Caenorhabditis elegans: one gene and its partners. The protein of the gene in region 3 interacts with the protein of the main gene of each other region in a biochemical or structural test. Each region holds a gene or a part of one and is shown on either strand. Other genes may lie near its edges.

Evidence for each region.
Region 1: of the proteins of smo-1 (region 3) and bub-1, one has a biochemical effect on the other in vitro, tested with the Caenorhabditis elegans proteins (one study listed by BioGRID).
Region 2: of the proteins of smo-1 (region 3) and gei-17, one has a biochemical effect on the other in vitro, tested with the Caenorhabditis elegans proteins (one study listed by BioGRID).

The regions. Positions count from the first base shown.
Region 1 is NC_003279.8:7,249,989-7,255,739, reverse strand, and holds bub-1 (Mitotic checkpoint serine/threonine-protein kinase bub-1), read right to left. Parts: upstream 3,800-5,751; 5' UTR 3,794-3,799; coding exon 3,720-3,793; intron 3,675-3,719; coding exon 3,145-3,674; intron 3,102-3,144; coding exon 2,190-3,101; intron 2,146-2,189; coding exon 1,958-2,145; intron 1,913-1,957; coding exon 1,143-1,912; intron 1,099-1,142; coding exon 609-1,098; 3' UTR 517-608; downstream 1-516. Other genes in the region: ztf-15 (C2H2-type domain-containing protein), read right to left, coding at 32-145, 190-213; Protein lin-61, read left to right, coding at 4,458-4,820, 4,924-5,106, 5,155-5,321, 5,448-5,544, 5,595-5,751. UniProt on the Caenorhabditis elegans protein: Serine/threonine-protein kinase essential for spindle-assembly checkpoint signaling. Plays a key role in the recruitment of the checkpoint proteins bub-3, mdf-1 and mdf-2 to unattached kinetochores. mdf-1 recruitment is independent of bub-1 kinase activity.
Region 2 is NC_003279.8:9,101,567-9,109,118, forward strand, and holds the start of gei-17 (E3 SUMO-protein ligase gei-17), read right to left. Parts: upstream 6,017-7,552; 5' UTR 5,974-6,016; coding exon 5,902-5,973; intron 5,777-5,901; coding exon 5,741-5,776; intron 5,659-5,740; coding exon 5,545-5,658; intron 5,466-5,544; coding exon 5,436-5,465; exon of another isoform or gene 5,422-5,435; intron 5,132-5,421; exon of another isoform or gene 5,034-5,131; intron 4,754-5,033; exon of another isoform or gene 4,541-4,753; intron 4,495-4,540; coding exon 4,129-4,494; intron 3,459-4,128; coding exon 3,333-3,458; intron 3,277-3,332; coding exon 3,182-3,276; intron 3,137-3,181; coding exon 3,040-3,136; intron 2,956-3,039; coding exon 2,483-2,955; intron 1,747-2,482; coding exon 1,433-1,746; intron 1,332-1,432; coding exon 1,075-1,331; intron 837-1,074; coding exon 699-836; intron 438-698; coding exon 272-437; intron 107-271; coding exon of another isoform or gene 1-106. Other genes in the region: nduf-7 (putative NADH dehydrogenase [ubiquinone] iron-sulfur protein 7, mitochondrial), read right to left, coding at 6,872-6,949. UniProt on the Caenorhabditis elegans protein: Functions as an E3-type smo-1 ligase. Mediates smo-1 conjugation to air-2 in vitro and is required for proper chromosome alignment.
Region 3 is NC_003279.8:1,339,069-1,341,813, reverse strand, and holds smo-1 (Small ubiquitin-related modifier), read right to left. Parts: upstream 1,137-2,745; 5' UTR 1,112-1,136; coding exon 1,046-1,111; intron 990-1,045; coding exon 889-989; intron 839-888; coding exon 730-838; 3' UTR 549-729; downstream 1-548. Other genes in the region: K12C11.1 (Xaa-Pro dipeptidase), read left to right, coding at 178-459; K12C11.7 (Copper transport protein), read right to left, coding at 2,104-2,183, 2,248-2,384, 2,444-2,538. UniProt on the Caenorhabditis elegans protein: Ubiquitin-like protein which can be covalently attached to target lysines as a monomer. Does not seem to be involved in protein degradation and may function as an antagonist of ubiquitin in the degradation process.

The DNA of each region.
Region 1 (5,751 bases), 5.9 Mb from region 3:
TTATGTTGAGGTTTCAATGAAGATTAAATACCAAAGATGGTCGAAGTGAAGCTTCGTCGAAAATTGCTTTGATATGACGAAGCAATTTTTCATCAGGCATGTCATGATAAAAACTGCCAATTTCATTTTCGACATTTGGTAAAAGCTGAAACTTTTTGCAAAATAAGTTGATTAAACACTAGCGCTCACCACAGTCTGATCTGATTCTTCCATTTTTACAAGAGGATGGCTGGAAAATATTTTAATTGTAATTTTTTCTAAATTCTTTTTTAAATATCACATTTTATGCAAAACGCGAAGAAAACAGTTGATGAAACAAAACGAATGTGCAACTATTTAGATCTAACTGTGATCTATTGCAATACTTCCCTTTAAAGGCGCATCAAATTTCTACCGTGATGGGTCTCGCCGCGCCCAATCTCGAATATCACGTTCAAATTTGGAAAGCTTTCAAAAACTGAAAACTTCGTTTAATTCAATTTGTTTTACCAGAAATAAATTAGATGCACAATTATTAAAGCTCCGAACGAGTTTATTCACATGATATCAATACAAAAGACAATAAAAGAGAGCAATAAGAGCACGAAATACAAATTCATTGTGTTGGGCTACTTTTGGTTGGCGGCAAGATCACAGGCCTCATTGAACTTGGAAACCGCCTGTCGCCATCCCGATGCTTCAAACTTTTCATTCCAGATTTCCGAGAAAGACTTGATCAGGATATTCCAGTCCGGAAGTGAATCACACGAAGGGATGTTGAGGAATCTGTTAATGACATCGTAGCAAGCATCGCGAAGAATGTTGCGCCTCTTGATGTCGACATTTAACGAATAGTCTCCAACGCTAGCTCCAGTCAACTGTGCATACTTTCCTGCAACAACGACAGCCATTGTTGCGGCGAATCCGAAGTAATCGGCTTGGTAAGTCCAAGAACGACCGTCAACCATTTCCGGGCAATCAAACGCTTCTGTTCCTGCTCTTCCCTTGAAACGCTGGTTCTTCAGTGGCATCATGTCAATGGCACGTCCCCAGTCGATAATCTTGATGACAAAGCTGTCGTTACTCATCAGAGCATCTTTGCCCCATTTATCATCGATCCTGAAAAAAGATAACGTCTAAAATTAACAAATGTTTTCCCATACTTTCTGGTGATCATAAAATTATCCGGTTTGATATCTCCATGAATAATTTTAGAGGCATGGACTTCCTTCACAACTCGGGCCATTTGGGTAATCAAGAAGCAGGTTATGTGCCAATTCGGATCCTTCATGTTATTCGCATATTCAAGCAGCGTTCCATATTCGTGGTACTGATTAACAAGAAGCGAAGCAGTTGAATAAACATAAGCATCCATCACTTCCATAATGCAACATTTGGCCATCAGCTCCAAACCTCGATCTTTCAGGCGATTCCGCATTTGGTCGCAAATGTACACTTCCCACGAACATGATGGCACCTCGTACTTCACAGCTACTGTCCTTTGATCATCGGTTACAGCCCGGTATACTTTAGCGTATCCACCTTGACCAATAAGAGTTTGAATGTGGAGCTTTTCTCCGCTAACCTCGCAGTCTCTCAGAGCTTGAATCTTCGGTGCTCGTTCTTGGAACTCGTGCATATTCTGGGGAGGACGCACAAGACACATCAATTTTTTTCGAAGAGTTTCGTCCCATGGATTGATGTCTCCTTGCTTGATAATTTCACTGCGCCGACGAATCTTGCAACCAGTGATTTCAGATTCGTTGTTTTCAGTGAGATTTGGAATTTCATCAGCACCAATTGAAAGACGTCTTCCTAGATTAGCTGTCAAACAATCGATAGATGAATCTTTAGGATCTGATCGTTCAGGCTTTGATGACTCTGTGACTGAGGGCTGAACGGCTTGATTTGCTGCTAGTGACTTTCGACGTGTCTGAAAAAGTTTGAATAGTATGTCGAAAATTTGTCTGGCACTTACTAATTTACTGAAAGTACTGCTGGTTGGAGCAACAAATACTGGAGCTTCCTGTTCGTGAGTGCTTTCCTCCTCTTTATTTCCGAAATATTCATCAATGTTGACCAAATGAACTCCTTGTGCGGGGGTCGATGTGACGAAATTACCACGAGACGGTTTGAAAAAGCCAAACTCGATTTCATCGTCATAAACTAAAAATTAAAACATAAGTTGTTATATTTTTCGATAAACCCACTATCATTAAACATTGTAGCTGGTGAGGTTTGCGTCACTGGAGAAACTAGGACAATTTCGGGTTGTACTTCAGATTCCTCAACTTTCTGAGATTCTTCCGGTTCGGCTGCCTCATCGTAAACAACATTCAACCCATTCGACACTTTTTTCGGACGCTCCTGTGTAATGGTCATTGTCGGATCAGGATCACAGAGCACGGAAAAGTCAGTAACTATCTGCGTAGTAGCTAAAGATCTTTCTGGAACGAAGACAGAATCATCGCCAAGGACCATTGTCTTTTCGCTAGCAAGATGTACAGTGTCGGAAAACATAGCATGTGCCTCCAAACACTTATTTTCCGCCATCAAATCCAATCCAGCTCCACTCTTTGATGTTCTTGCAGAAGCAGTTGAATAGTTGGAAGATATGCTTGTGGAACGGTCTGGAGGGTTACCATCTTTTCTGCCGGCAGTCATAATCTTGAGTCTTTCATCATCATCTGCATCATCGGAATCACTAACATCTTTCTCCGAAGCAGACTTTGTATCCGACGAAAGTGTCACTGTCGCTGGAGGATTCTCAATTTTGCTCCGAAGTGCAGGTCTGTGAGCATCCTTCGTTGCAACCAGCGGCGAATAAATCCGGCTTCGCTTTTCCTCCTCATCATCAACCGTTTTCTCACTGACTGGTGAAAGATGACGTCTTCTAGGATTTAGATTGGCGTTGAATCGGTTTTCAACTTCTTCGCGGGCTTGTCTGTCGGTATCAATGACTTGATGTTTCACGAAAACGACACCAGAGTCTTTTCGTTTTCGGTAATCGTCATCAACATCTTCTCCGAAAGTGTCCTTCCATTTGGCAAAACGAAACTCCTCAATCGATATTCCATGATAGTTTGGCCTGTCGATACACGCCTGGCGAAGATCCGTTTTGGCTGTAAGTTTCCAATGAGAATAATAACTTTTTTTCAAACTTACTTTTTGGTCCAAATGCAGCTTTTCCCGAGTTATTTATAGGCACATTGTGTTGCAAAAAGCAAACCGAAGAGCGACGCTTTTTCTTAGAACCCGCATTGAATCTGAAAAGATCCATAGTCTCATCCGGTCGTGTGAACATATCTCCAGATTCTCCATTGAAGTATTCATCGACCAAATCGCGAAATCCCGATTCAATTGCTGTCATTTCTATTCTTTCGGAAAGACGATCTCGTGCCAACTTCAGGACATCTTTGAATTCCTCCAGCATTTGATCTTTTCCACATTCTTCTGCCCATTGCAGATAGAACTTCAGCGAACCAGTGAAATGATCCTTTTTGAAAAGTTGTTCATAAATGCCTCTTCCCTTCAGGTTTGTACTAGATCGACCCATAACTTTGTAGAGACGGAGCATCGCTTCGTTTTCACGAATTTGATCAAACTTTTGCTCCCGCAAAATTCTCCTAACGCAGTCGTATAATTCCGCCTTCATTTCCTCCGCGGTCATCATTTGAGACAACGTTTCGATTTGCCTGAAAGTGGTGACTATTTAAAATACAAGATATACGGAAACTTACGTTGCGAACGTCTCAAGACCACATGTCGACGGATTGGTGTCGAGTGGAGCGAATGCCACTCTAATGTGGGACATAACTTTCTGAAATAATCTGAATAACAAGTTTTCAAAGTAGAAAGGACGCGAATAAAAAAATCATCGGTTCACGAAAATTACGGAGTTCATTGGAGACGTGAAATCCCTCTTTCTCCTCTAAATTTTAGGACCTTCGAAAACAAGAAATGGATATAAACGCGCGCGTCTTTTTTGAAAAGCGAGTCTTCGCGGGCCTGCTCGATAGAGCGCGTTTTTCGCTGTAGTTCAGTGACGTCACTCTCATGGCTACGTTCTTTTGAATCTGGAGAATTGCGCACTACTGAAAATTGGGCGGTGCTTTATTGCTATAACTGAAAATTGATTTTAAAGCTATTTGAAATTATAAAAAAACAATTTTTTAAAAAGTGTTTGTATGCAATTGGAATTTAATTTGAAATGTTACACTTTTAATAACACAAAAAGCCCGCCCATTTTTTCGTAGTCCGTTCGTCACTAGTTTCGAAATCGACGGATCTGCATTGAGTCTCTCATTTCTTTTTTATTATTTTTCAAACATTTTCTCCATTTTCCTGTTTTGTTTCTTTTTTTTTTAAAGCAAAATGTTTCGAAATAATTGAAGTTAGCGTGGCCCAGTAGTCTAATTTGTCACCAGATAGTTAAGAGTGTTTTTGTTCGTCCGAAAAGTTAGTTCCCGAACATCAAAATGCTAAAATTAGTCATTTTGTGCTTCGCGTTGTTCTACAATACAGTCAGTTCGACAAGATTTCTGTTTGGCGTCGAAGTTAAGTGTGATTTTGATGAAGTGTTCCAATTAACAGTGTCGCATTGGGAAGACGATGGCAATACTTTTTGGGATCGCGATGAAGACATCACTGGACGTATGACTATGTTTGCTCGAAAGAAAATATTTTTCTATCAGGACGGCCATCATGGATTTGAATTTGGAAAGCTCGAGCCTTATGGGTGGTTTCTGCACAATTGCACGAAAAATGGAAATTTTCGCGAGTATAGGCACGGGTTGAGTAGCACCAGTGGATCCAATGGGTTGGAGTATATTGAGTACACTGTGAATTTGACGAACGCCTGAGAAATATCAAATCAAATCGAACTAACTTTCAATTTCAATAAACATTCTCTCTAATTACGTTTTAAACCAGTCTTAATTTCAGATGTCTGAATTTCTGAAAATTGTCAGAGCTAACAAAAAATCGGACAGAAAACTCGATAAGACCTACTTGTGGGAATCCTATTTACATCAGTTCGAGAAAGGAAAAACTTCTTTCATTCCAGTTGAAGCATTCAATCGTAACCTTACAGTTAATTTTAACGAATGCGTGAAGGAAGGAGTTATCGTGAGTTCATATTGTTCGTAAATCGGTTTTAAAATACAATTTTTGTAGTTCGAAACAGTGGTCCATGATTATGACAAGAACTGCGATTCGATTCAAGTCAGATGGTTTGCACGAATTGAAAAAGTTTGCGGATACAGAGTTCTGGCTCAGTTTATCGGAGCTGACACGAAATTTTGGCTCAATATTTTATCGGACGATATGTTTGGTTTGGCAAAGTAAGTTGGACGCTCAGCTCTTTCTACTATTCTAAATAAATAATGGTTCTGTTACATAAAATTCTAGAGAACAATCGTATTAAAACTTCGAAACATTTGTATAATAGTAAAATTTGAACATTTCAGCGCCGCAATGAGTGATCCCAATATGGATAAAATTGTATATGCTCCGCCGCTTGCAATCAACGAAGAATACCAAAATGATATGGTAAATTATGTAAATGTAAGTTTGTTTTTTTCCGAATTTATGTTAATATCATCTCACAACTTCAGAATTGCATTGATGGCGAAATCGTCGGCCAAACTTCGCTGTCTCCAAAATTCGATGAAGGGAAGGCTCTCCTAAGCAAGCATCGTTTCAAAGTTGGACAACGTCTTGAACTATTAAATTATTCCAATTCTACTGAAATACGCGTAGCGCGAATTCAAG
Region 2 (7,552 bases), 7.8 Mb from region 3:
CCTGAGTGATCGATCATCAGGTGTCCATTTACCAAAAGTCGAGATGCATTTGCTTGTATTTCAGCCATGGAAAGAATTCGTGGTGGTTGGATGTTATTGGTGTCACCTGAAAGTGAGGCCAAACCAAGTAAGGGAAATAAATATATATTTGCATGCAGGATGGTTGCAATTACACAACAAGTTTACTCGCTATTAACTGAAGATCGTGAAGTGATTGTTTTGATGTTTAAACATAATATACAAAAACTTTGTAAGGTGTACAAAAAATTACCGTTTGACATTTGCTGTTGAGCATAAAAAGACGGAGACATGATTTGTGGTGACTGCTGCTGCTGTTGTTGCTGCTGAAGATGGTGCTGCTGCATATGAACCATTTGATTGTTTCGCCCTATGAGCCCGTTTTGCATTTGGAAGTGTGGTGCCTGGTTTATCATTGGCTGAAAACGAGAGTTCAATTTTTAAAAAATTTTGAAAAATATTTGTTAAGTTTATAATTCCAGACGTAAAACTAGTGCATTTTTTTCAATTCGACAGAATTCTAGTGCAGTGGACAATCATCTAAGTATCTTATCCAATTAATAGGGGCTTGAACAAAGAAAAAAAAGAGATTAAAACAGGATTTTTTTGTTCTGTCGTTATGAAAAAATATCACTAGAGTATTAGTGCGTGTGGTAGACTATTAACACGTGCTGGCATACCGAATATCCGTATTGTGATGTAGGTGTTTGAGATCCTGAAGAGGGATTCATATAAGATGATTGAGCAAAATTCAATGGATGTGTCGTATGGTGAAGTTGAACAAGCGGAGATGATTGTGTTGATGAATTTGCTGACTGCTGCAACAAACAGACAGTTTAGTGAGTGTGGACAGGGAGAAGCAGATGTTAGTTTAACAATATCATATAATAATATAATCAAATATATAATTCAATCTTTGTATTAGTTTTGGTTAAAAACGGATAAGTTATAACTAGAATACTGATTTCAGTCAAATTAAGAACAAATCCTCTTAAAACTATGGAAAATAACTAACAATATTGGCTCTTTTGAAGATTTGTGTTTTTCTGAACTTACTTCTCCTATTTTGTTCAGCGCATCCCGGATAGTTTTACTTGCACCCTCGTTCATTCCCATTTGCGTTGAGGCCATTCCAGATGGAGATGAGCCAACTGGCATTTGATTCTGTTGAGACATCTGACGCATTGGAAGATTTGCACTTGCAGCTACTGGACGAGGTGGTGTATCATCGAGAGTAATAATCTCTATGTCATCGTCTTTCGTCTTCTTTTTCTGCTGTGGTGGTGTCTTTTGAGCAGCCAATTCTGCGGAAGCTGAAATAAGATTTGAATTTCAAGTGAATACTTTTAATTGATATTGCTAGAAACTGCAATATTCTCAGCTTGTCTCACACCACGCCATTTGAATAGCAAACCTGTGTGTCTGCCAGGAGAGAAGCTGTCGTTCAGAGAGTTCATTATACCTCTGTTCAATTCCTCATCATCGTCATCACTCAAGGTAATTATGTCGTCGTCAGCTGGTTTTTTCTTCGCTGCTTCATTTGCAAGTCCATTGCCATTTGTCGAAGAGCATGACGCTGTACCGTTAACAGTAGCAGGTACAACGTCATCGTCGTCATCATCTGAGATGCAAAAAGCTTCTTCCTTGATAACATCGTACGAGCCATCTTCCTTAAGTTCAACTTCCGTCGTATTCTTATCCACCTTTGCAAGCATATCGAGGAAATAACTGAAAGATGAAACAATATTTGCATAGTCTCAGAACATTGCTTTTTATTTTGATATTTGAATATTTCTTAAATAAAATGTTGAATTGGGTAACGTCTAAGCAGTTTCTCAGGCATTTCCGTGACTAAAAAGTATTTTCCAATTAAGAAAACGAGCGAATAGTGCGAACAGACAGCTTCACACAAAACTGCATGAAGTTAGCCATCGAATTTGTTGTTTGTCCATGATGCACTGTTCACAATATGAATCTGGATCATGGTAAACATAAGAGTGAGAACACTATTTGGATTATTAATTGATTGAGAATTATTTACAGGGATTTTGAATTTCTGAATAATAATAATTTTCAATTACACATTAAAACTCTTGCTCAATTATGATGATTGACCTTTGCCATTTGTTTCATGTTCTCTTACGTCATGAGCTGAATTTTGAGTTGGAGACCAATACGAACTACTGATAATAATCGTAGACTATATTTGCAAATACATGCCTATTTTAGACGACGCGTTTCCGAATTTCCTAATCACCGTTTCATCATGGCTATTTTAAGGGTGTTGTCCATCGCTATAGATAACAATTGTGTTTGGAAAAATAATAGTGTCTTCACAAGAATTGGAAATTTCGAAGTGAGGGAACGGTATCTAAGAGTTAATAGAAAAATAATGAAAACATAGAATTGAGATAATTCGCTTTTTTTTAAAATCAAAGTTAGTCAGTGTGAATTGAAAACTTACTCATCAACAATAAGTCTATCATATGGGCAGTTACTCGAGCAAACAGGGCACTGCCACGTTGGTTTCTTCTCGTTCATCATCAAATATGAGAGGAGATCAAAACATTGCAAATGGGTACAATCTTGGCATCTAGAAGGCGTTGTCATTCTTGTCTTGCACAGTGGATCAAGAAGACTGATATTAAGACGATCCATAGCAATATCATCTTCACCTCCAGACAGTTTCTTGATCACTTCTTGCTTGGTAACCTCAAGTGATCGATGTCTTGATACATTCTGATTAAGACGTTTAAAGAGAATATCCGAGTTAACACGATGAACGAAATAAACTCCAGCTGCCCATACACGTTTGTCGGCTAACCATTCGACTGCAACTGTGTGCTCTTTCTTGTATCTATTCATGTTTGAAGTGATATTCACTGGACGAGATGGTCGTTTCGGCTCAGCATTTGTCTTATTTGTTGGGATTACATTCTGAAATTTGAAGAAATAGTAACTCCTAACAATAATTGATATTTTGAAATTAAATATATTTCGTGAACGTTTCAAATCTCATACCGGCAATTGAACGACAGAATCATCAACACGTGCGTAGCAATTGAGTGGAAAGTCGTCTTTTTGAGGACCCTGAACTGGTTCAGTAAGATTGAAGAACCTGAAAACAAGGATTTAAACCGATTTCAATGATAATAAAACGTACCTCAACTGCAATTCATATCGTGGAAGAGGTGTAACATCAGCTCGATACGAAATCTTGGAGATGTGCTCAGCAGTCAATAAGAACGGGAATTGTAACTGAAATTAGTAATTAATAGGTAACCGGCTTGGAGAGCGAGTAAATTGAGACCAACCTGTTTTGTTTGCTTCAAAGTTGGACTGTCTGATGAATGCAGCTCGACAGGCTTCAGCAAAACAGAAATAACATCGTAGAATGGAAGTGGAAGCGGTTCAAAATTATCAGCATACATTTTTTTCGGCTGAAAAAAAAATACATGGGTTAGACATGTGGGAATGTAAGAAAGAGACGCTGAAAGCAATTTTCAGGTGATAACATTGAACTCGTGTGAGCGAACTGTATAACACATGCCGCGCAATTTCTAATGATGCCTGCTTTTTGGTAGTAAAAAAACACTTTTACATGCTACTACGAACTAATTGGAAATAAAACTATTTGAAAATTGAGCACGGCAATATGAAGAAATGCCTAGAGAGGATTATCATATTAAGCTTTTCTTCATGAACATGCTCCTAAGAATGCCATACTGTAATATCTTAAAACCACACTTGTTCTAGTTTTTACGCCATTCGGAATCATGCAGAAAATTTCGTGATAACAGCGTGCAAATCTTGGAGCTTCGAATTTTTCTTTCTTTTTTTTGAATGCTACACGCAATTCAAAAAAGTGCATTCAATAAACGGTAGGACATTTGTTTGCATAATGTATCACGATTGAGGAATTTTCAAATAACCGCGACTGGCCAATATGATATATGTGCCCAGAAGAAGCTACCAGTGTAATTTTTTCAGGTAAATTTTCCGTTACGGTCATAAACCGAAAGTATATCTTCACATGCTTTCCGCCTCGATATTCTTGCGTTCATTCTTATCGTGAATTTCAGGCAATAAAAATGCGGCGAAAATGTTCACCCTATTTGATTTTTCCGACTTCTGCAAACTTTGCTGAGAAGAACGTCCATGATTAGGAAAAGATGAATGGAGCGGCGCGTTGGTAGCAGCAGCAGCAGCGGGAGCGCCGTATCTCATCGAGCCCCTCAGTTGCTCTTCGAGCAGTTCAGGAGTTAGCCATCTCACCGTCGACGGATGGTGCTGCTGTTGCAGATGTGAATGATGTGACGCCATCATTTGTTGATGAAGTAGATTGTGAGGCTGTGGTTGTTGTTGTTGTTGCTGCTGATAATGATGATTGACCAAGTGATTACTAGCTCCAGATCGAGATGGCAGCACATATGGATGAGACCGAACTTGGGATGTTGTTGCAGGTCGCTTCTGCATCTGACATTTTTTAATTTAGTTATTAAAACAGAAACGATTTACAAACAATTTTTTAGGCTCTAACTTTAAATATGTGGAATATTTTAGACAATTAGAACATTTGCAAAAATACATTTGGGAATAAAAAACAAAGCGGAAGAGATTTTTTGAACGTTTGTTTCTCAATAGAGCGCACATGTCATCAGGAGAGGTGCTTGCGAAGAAATGATATATATTGATAAACCTAGCCGTTTTTTTGGAGTTTTGATAACAGGACTTTCTTAAAATTTAGTAAAATTTCAATAATAAGCCAACTAAAAATTCGATTGATTTAAATAGTTACGCGCATTCGAATCAACTGTTGTGAAATAACAACAAAAAAAAAAACGATTCCCAGTTTCTCACGAGCGACATCGTGCCAATTCGCTTCCATATCGATTTTTCAAAGTGAAACAATTATTAAAAAACTCAAATACCTCTTTAGGAGTGAAAATTTGAATTTGATTTTCAAAAAAGTGTGACAGTATTCAAAAGAATCAATCTAGTAAAATAAAAATTGTAATGAAAAACTACGCGCCAAGCTACACGTATGAAACATGGAAAGAAGGTCAGGGCAAAGTACAACTAAGAAATTTTCGAAGATCCACTGCTTTTGAGGTTTTTAACACCTTATTACGGGCGAAAGTCCCGTTGCCGGAGCTGCGAGGAAGCAAGTGCAGAATGGATGAAATATTTGAGGAAACTTAGAGAAACAAAGGGCTACATATATGGTGGGTATGAGGATGCTAGTGGAGATAAATGCGAGACTTATTGTGTGAGTAAAGAGACAATACTAGGTGAATGAATAATTTCCTCCGAGGTAGAACACTGGTAAACGTTACCCAAAGTACCTCACACATCTATTTAATCAAAGTTGACATAGTTTTTTTTTAACTGAAAGTATTTAACTTTTTCATACTTACCTCATAATTTCCGTTCGGGAAATTGGAAGCCTGTAAACTCGAGAAAATTAATGCTGTAAAACATCATTTAAAAAAAAACATAAATAAAATAACGAGAAAAACAAATGACCATTTGATAAATTTGCCGAGCATGATGAGGATCACGCAAGGATTCAACGACGACCTTCTGATGCTCCGATTTTTGTGGACGTGGCTTTCGAAGTGACAATTGCGAGATAATCGACTGAAATTCATAAATTCTTGATTCACATCGCCTTCTCGTTGAGGTATTGAACAATAAAGATTGATTAAAAACGGTATCTAACCTGAAGATCGTGTACTCTCAATTTCATGACGGCTGCCTGAAAATTTGGAATCCATCAGTTTTACTTTTTGAAAAATAACAGATTGGAACAGAAAAATCCTTGGGTAAAATACAAGAATTTTAAACTATTTAATAAATGTCAATAATTTTCCAATAACTCACGTGTGCTGCCATATTTTCCTGATGTGTTAATCCATTGTTTATAGGTATTTGCCATTGATTATTCGGTAACATATTGATTTCAATACCTCCGATCCTCCGCTGTGTCTCGAAACGACGGAAAAATATAAAACTGCAGATTCGGAAAAGGGATATTAAGGCGAATTTGAATGGTCCAGTAGTGAAAATATCACAAACAAAAAGTAGAAAAATGTGATCTTTTCTATTCCCTAAAAAGCGTTTCGAAAAGCGCGGTTCCGTGTGGATTTCCCAATTTTGGAAGTTAATGGACCAAAATCGCGCAAAAAACACGGGCACACCTGATGAATCAGTTTTGCAAAATCCTGCAAAAAATATTTCAACGTACTCACGTTAACTCATTCAGGAAATCAATGAGATCAATGTGTACGATAGGTTTGTGCCCGTGACAAAGGATCAGCAATTTTCAGAAGAGGCGCCAGAAAATTTGTGTTTTTGAATTTGCGCAATACAATTTTCAATCCACACAGACTTTTTTTGTATTATTTTCAATCCAAAAACCAAATCCAAAAAAAAAAACTTGGCGGCGCTATAAAGTGCGTCGTGATCTCCTTTCAAATCACTATATAAAAATTCACAGACTTTGTGAAAATATGAATAAATAAATAAAAAGAGAACCACAAAGGGTCGGCGTTGTTAACCGTTCCAAAGAAAATGAGAGAAAAAAATAGAACTTTAAAAAAATGTTATCGACTTTTTTTCAACCAAAAAAAACATGAGGTAAAAATAGACACTATTCGAAAAAAAAAGTAAACCGCAGAAAAAAACGAACGAAACTATCGATATCAGATCTAGAAAAAAGAAAATGGAGAAAAGGTGGAGAAACACAAAAAATGAATGAAGTGGGGCTTACTCGTACAAAATGACCATTTTTCTGCGAATTTTTTCACAGTTCTCCAACTTTCTCGTACTTTCTTTTCGCCTCGTGTTCTGTTTAGCGTCTGTACCAAAGTTGAGCTTCTCGCTTACGCTTGATCTTCTTTTGAAGTTGGAGAACTCCGTATAGAAGAGCCTGGAATAATTTTTTATATTAAAATTATTTTCTTTATTAGACGAAACATATTTTCAGAAAAGACTGCAGGCTAGGAATATTTTTAAAGCTATTCAGATAATTTCACTAATTTAAAATGTATTAGAAATTCGCTGATACAGTCAGAATGTGATAAAGTATTTCGAAGAGCTAAAGATTTAAACAAAACACCAAGTTGTTGTTGCATTAGATACGGCAAAATATTCATTAGTGAATGCTTGAGAAACTAAGCAGAAATAGAGAAATAAAGACTCAATGGTATGCAAGAGAGCGTAGACAACACAAGACTTTCGCGCCAATTCGATCAATAATTGAGTACACATGCACCCACGTATTTTCGAAATATTTACAATCGGTCGTGGAGCGCGATTACATCATGCCGTCCTTAGCCCACCATTCTTAAATTGGGAAATTTTTTTCAAAAATCTTTTTCGGAAAAACCCGAAAAAAACAGTTTTGATAATGATGGGGTGTCGAGATTATAGTGAGGTACATATTATGACGTCATAGAATTATTAAAATTCATTTTTGAACATAGCAACACGCTTTTCTTGGAATATTTTCAGACATTAACTGAAACAAATT
Region 3 (2,745 bases):
ACTGTCCCACGGGAGTAAATTTTTCGGAAAAATCGATAATTTTTTGAGTTTTGAGCTGTTAAAGCATGCAAAATGCCGAAATTTTATCGAAAAGTAGAAAAATTAGCCCCGCGGAGCTGGAAAATCCAGAAAACCTCAATTTTTCCGAATTTTCACGTAAAAATCGATATCTTCCAGGCAATCACCATCGAACCCGGCTGCTATTTCATTGATTTCCTGCTCAACGAGGCGCTCGCCGACCCGAAAAAGAGCGAATTCCTCGTCAAATCCGAAATCGACAAGTACCGCGGATCAGGCGGCGTCCGTATCGAGGATGACGTCATCATTCGTGCTTCTGGTAACGAGAATCTGAGCGATCTTCCACGAACCGTCGAGGAGATCGAGAACTTCATGGCTAGTGGAGGCGAATGGACGGAGAAGGTCATCGAATCTCGTGTCTCTGATTTCTTGTCCAAGTGATTTTTTGTCTACTGATTCTAATTTATCATCATTCCTACTACTATTACTGTGTTATTTTTTCATGTAAAATAAAATTTAATTTTTAAAAATTTGGGATTTTCCGAAAACGAAGAGTTTATTTGTAAGATAAATAAGTTATTTTAAACTTTTTTGGTTGTATAATATGATTCGAAATGTGGAAAATAGATTAAATGAGACAGAGAAACCGAGTATCTCAGTGGAAAAGGGATGGATGGGTGTTTGTTTTCGGATTAGAGTGTAGGTAGAGGACTAGAATCCGCCCAGCTGCTCTTGGTAGACCTCGATGACGTCATCGTCCTCCATCTCGAGCGTCTTCGGTGTGTCATCGTCGTTGATGCGACGTCCGTCGAAGAGGAAACTGCAAATATTTAAAGTTGATAGGAATTGGCGCGGATTTCCAAAACTCACCGAAGACTGTTGACGGCGACACCGGTTCTGTCAGCGTACGACTTCTTCAGCTTGGCCATAGAGGTTCCATACTTTACACGGAAGTGCACTTCGTTGCTGTCCTGCAATTTTTTTGGGAATTATTAACAAATTCGCGGCGAATTTCCAGTCAAATTACCTGTCCAACGACCTTGATCTTGATGTATTCGGCGTTGTCGCCTGCTTGAGCTGCATCATCGGCCATCGTTTATAGCGGGAGTCTCTGAAACGAAATTAGATTTGAAAAGAGAAAAAGAGATAGAAGGAGAGAGGTAGAGTTGCTATGGAGAATGCAACTCACACGAGTGAAAGGTATTAAGAGTGCAGAATGATGACTTTCTAGGGTATTTATATAGACGCTGTAACAAATAAAATCGATAATTACAGAACAGCTGGCTGAGCCACAAGATGCTTGAAAAATTAGGAATATCGATTGTCTGGGGAGCGCTGCGCTGAGAATTTCAAGAATATCACTGCGAAATTCAGAAAAAAAACCCATTTTTCTCAAGGAAATCCTTTTTTTTAGGATATCCAGTTCCTATCAAGTTTTCTACGTGGTTTTTCAGCGAAATTGACGAAATTTAGAAGCAAAACTTAATTAAACGCATCGCGACCGGAGAAAGAAGGCAAAAATAAATGAAAACACACGAAATGAGCCGAAAAATCGGGCAATACGCGCCTAAAAACCTTTTCGAAATGATTTCCCGCGTTGCAGAGTGTGCATGTTCACGCCGCGGTGTTTGCACACAATGCACCGCATTTCACGAGCAACACGAGGGTACGGTAGATTTTGGACAGGTTTTTGACCAAATTTGGTGCTTTTTGGACTGAAAAAATAAGAGATTTCGGCCTAAAATAGATAAATTGGTGAATTATTTGAGTTTTCAACGAAAAAAATGTTTTGAACAAGTTTTCGGAACAAAATTCAAGGTTTTCGCTTGGTTTTTGAGGAAAAACTCTAAAAATACCGTTTTCCAATATGTAACAAGGCAAACTGGATTTTAAAATATAATTTTAAGCTAAAAACTACAAAAACAATTGTTAATGAGCATTTTAGGCCAAAAAGCGATCGATTTAATTCGCGCGGTATCGTCAGGTCTCATCGTGAAATTGCAAGCGCGCTCTAATGTGAATATCGATTTTTCTTTATTAAAAATATATTCAAATTTAATGCTTTATACATATTTATGAAATCAATTAAGAACAGCAATTTCCAGTGTTTTCGACCTCCTTAACCGTCATCAACGGGCCAACGAAGAAATATCCGATGGCGTGGCCTAAAATTTACGAATTTTAAGCTTTTCTTCTAAAAATTCAAAAAAAAAAAAAAATAAATAAAACCTGCTAAAAGCGAGAAAAATAGCGGATAATTATATGTCATTGCTACCAGCATCAACGAATAATCCACAAAATTTTGAAGAAAAAATAGAAAAGAAGACGCAAAATGTCTCCAACTTGAGATGGATTCCATTGTAAATCTGCAATTTATCACCTTTTTTCGGAATTTCGTATCCTGGAATATTTTAAGCCAACTCACGGAGCCAACGATGCCAGTTTGCCACGTGGCGACGGCTCAGGCTCTTCCGGAATCTCCCAAATGCCTTCAGGCGTTGAGCAACAGCAATCGACGGCCTACAATTTTTTTTTTGGAATTCAGGAATTCCCGAAAAATAAAACACGGGTTTCTGGCTTCCCTCATAATTTGAAATGGAAGAGTTTTTGCCGAATTAGGCCATTTTGGCTCGGCCATATCTGGCGGCGCGTAGCGGCTCAATTTTAGTTGAAAAACTAAATGTGATTTGTCCGTGTGGAGTACACGACTTTCCCGTCCGGCAGGCG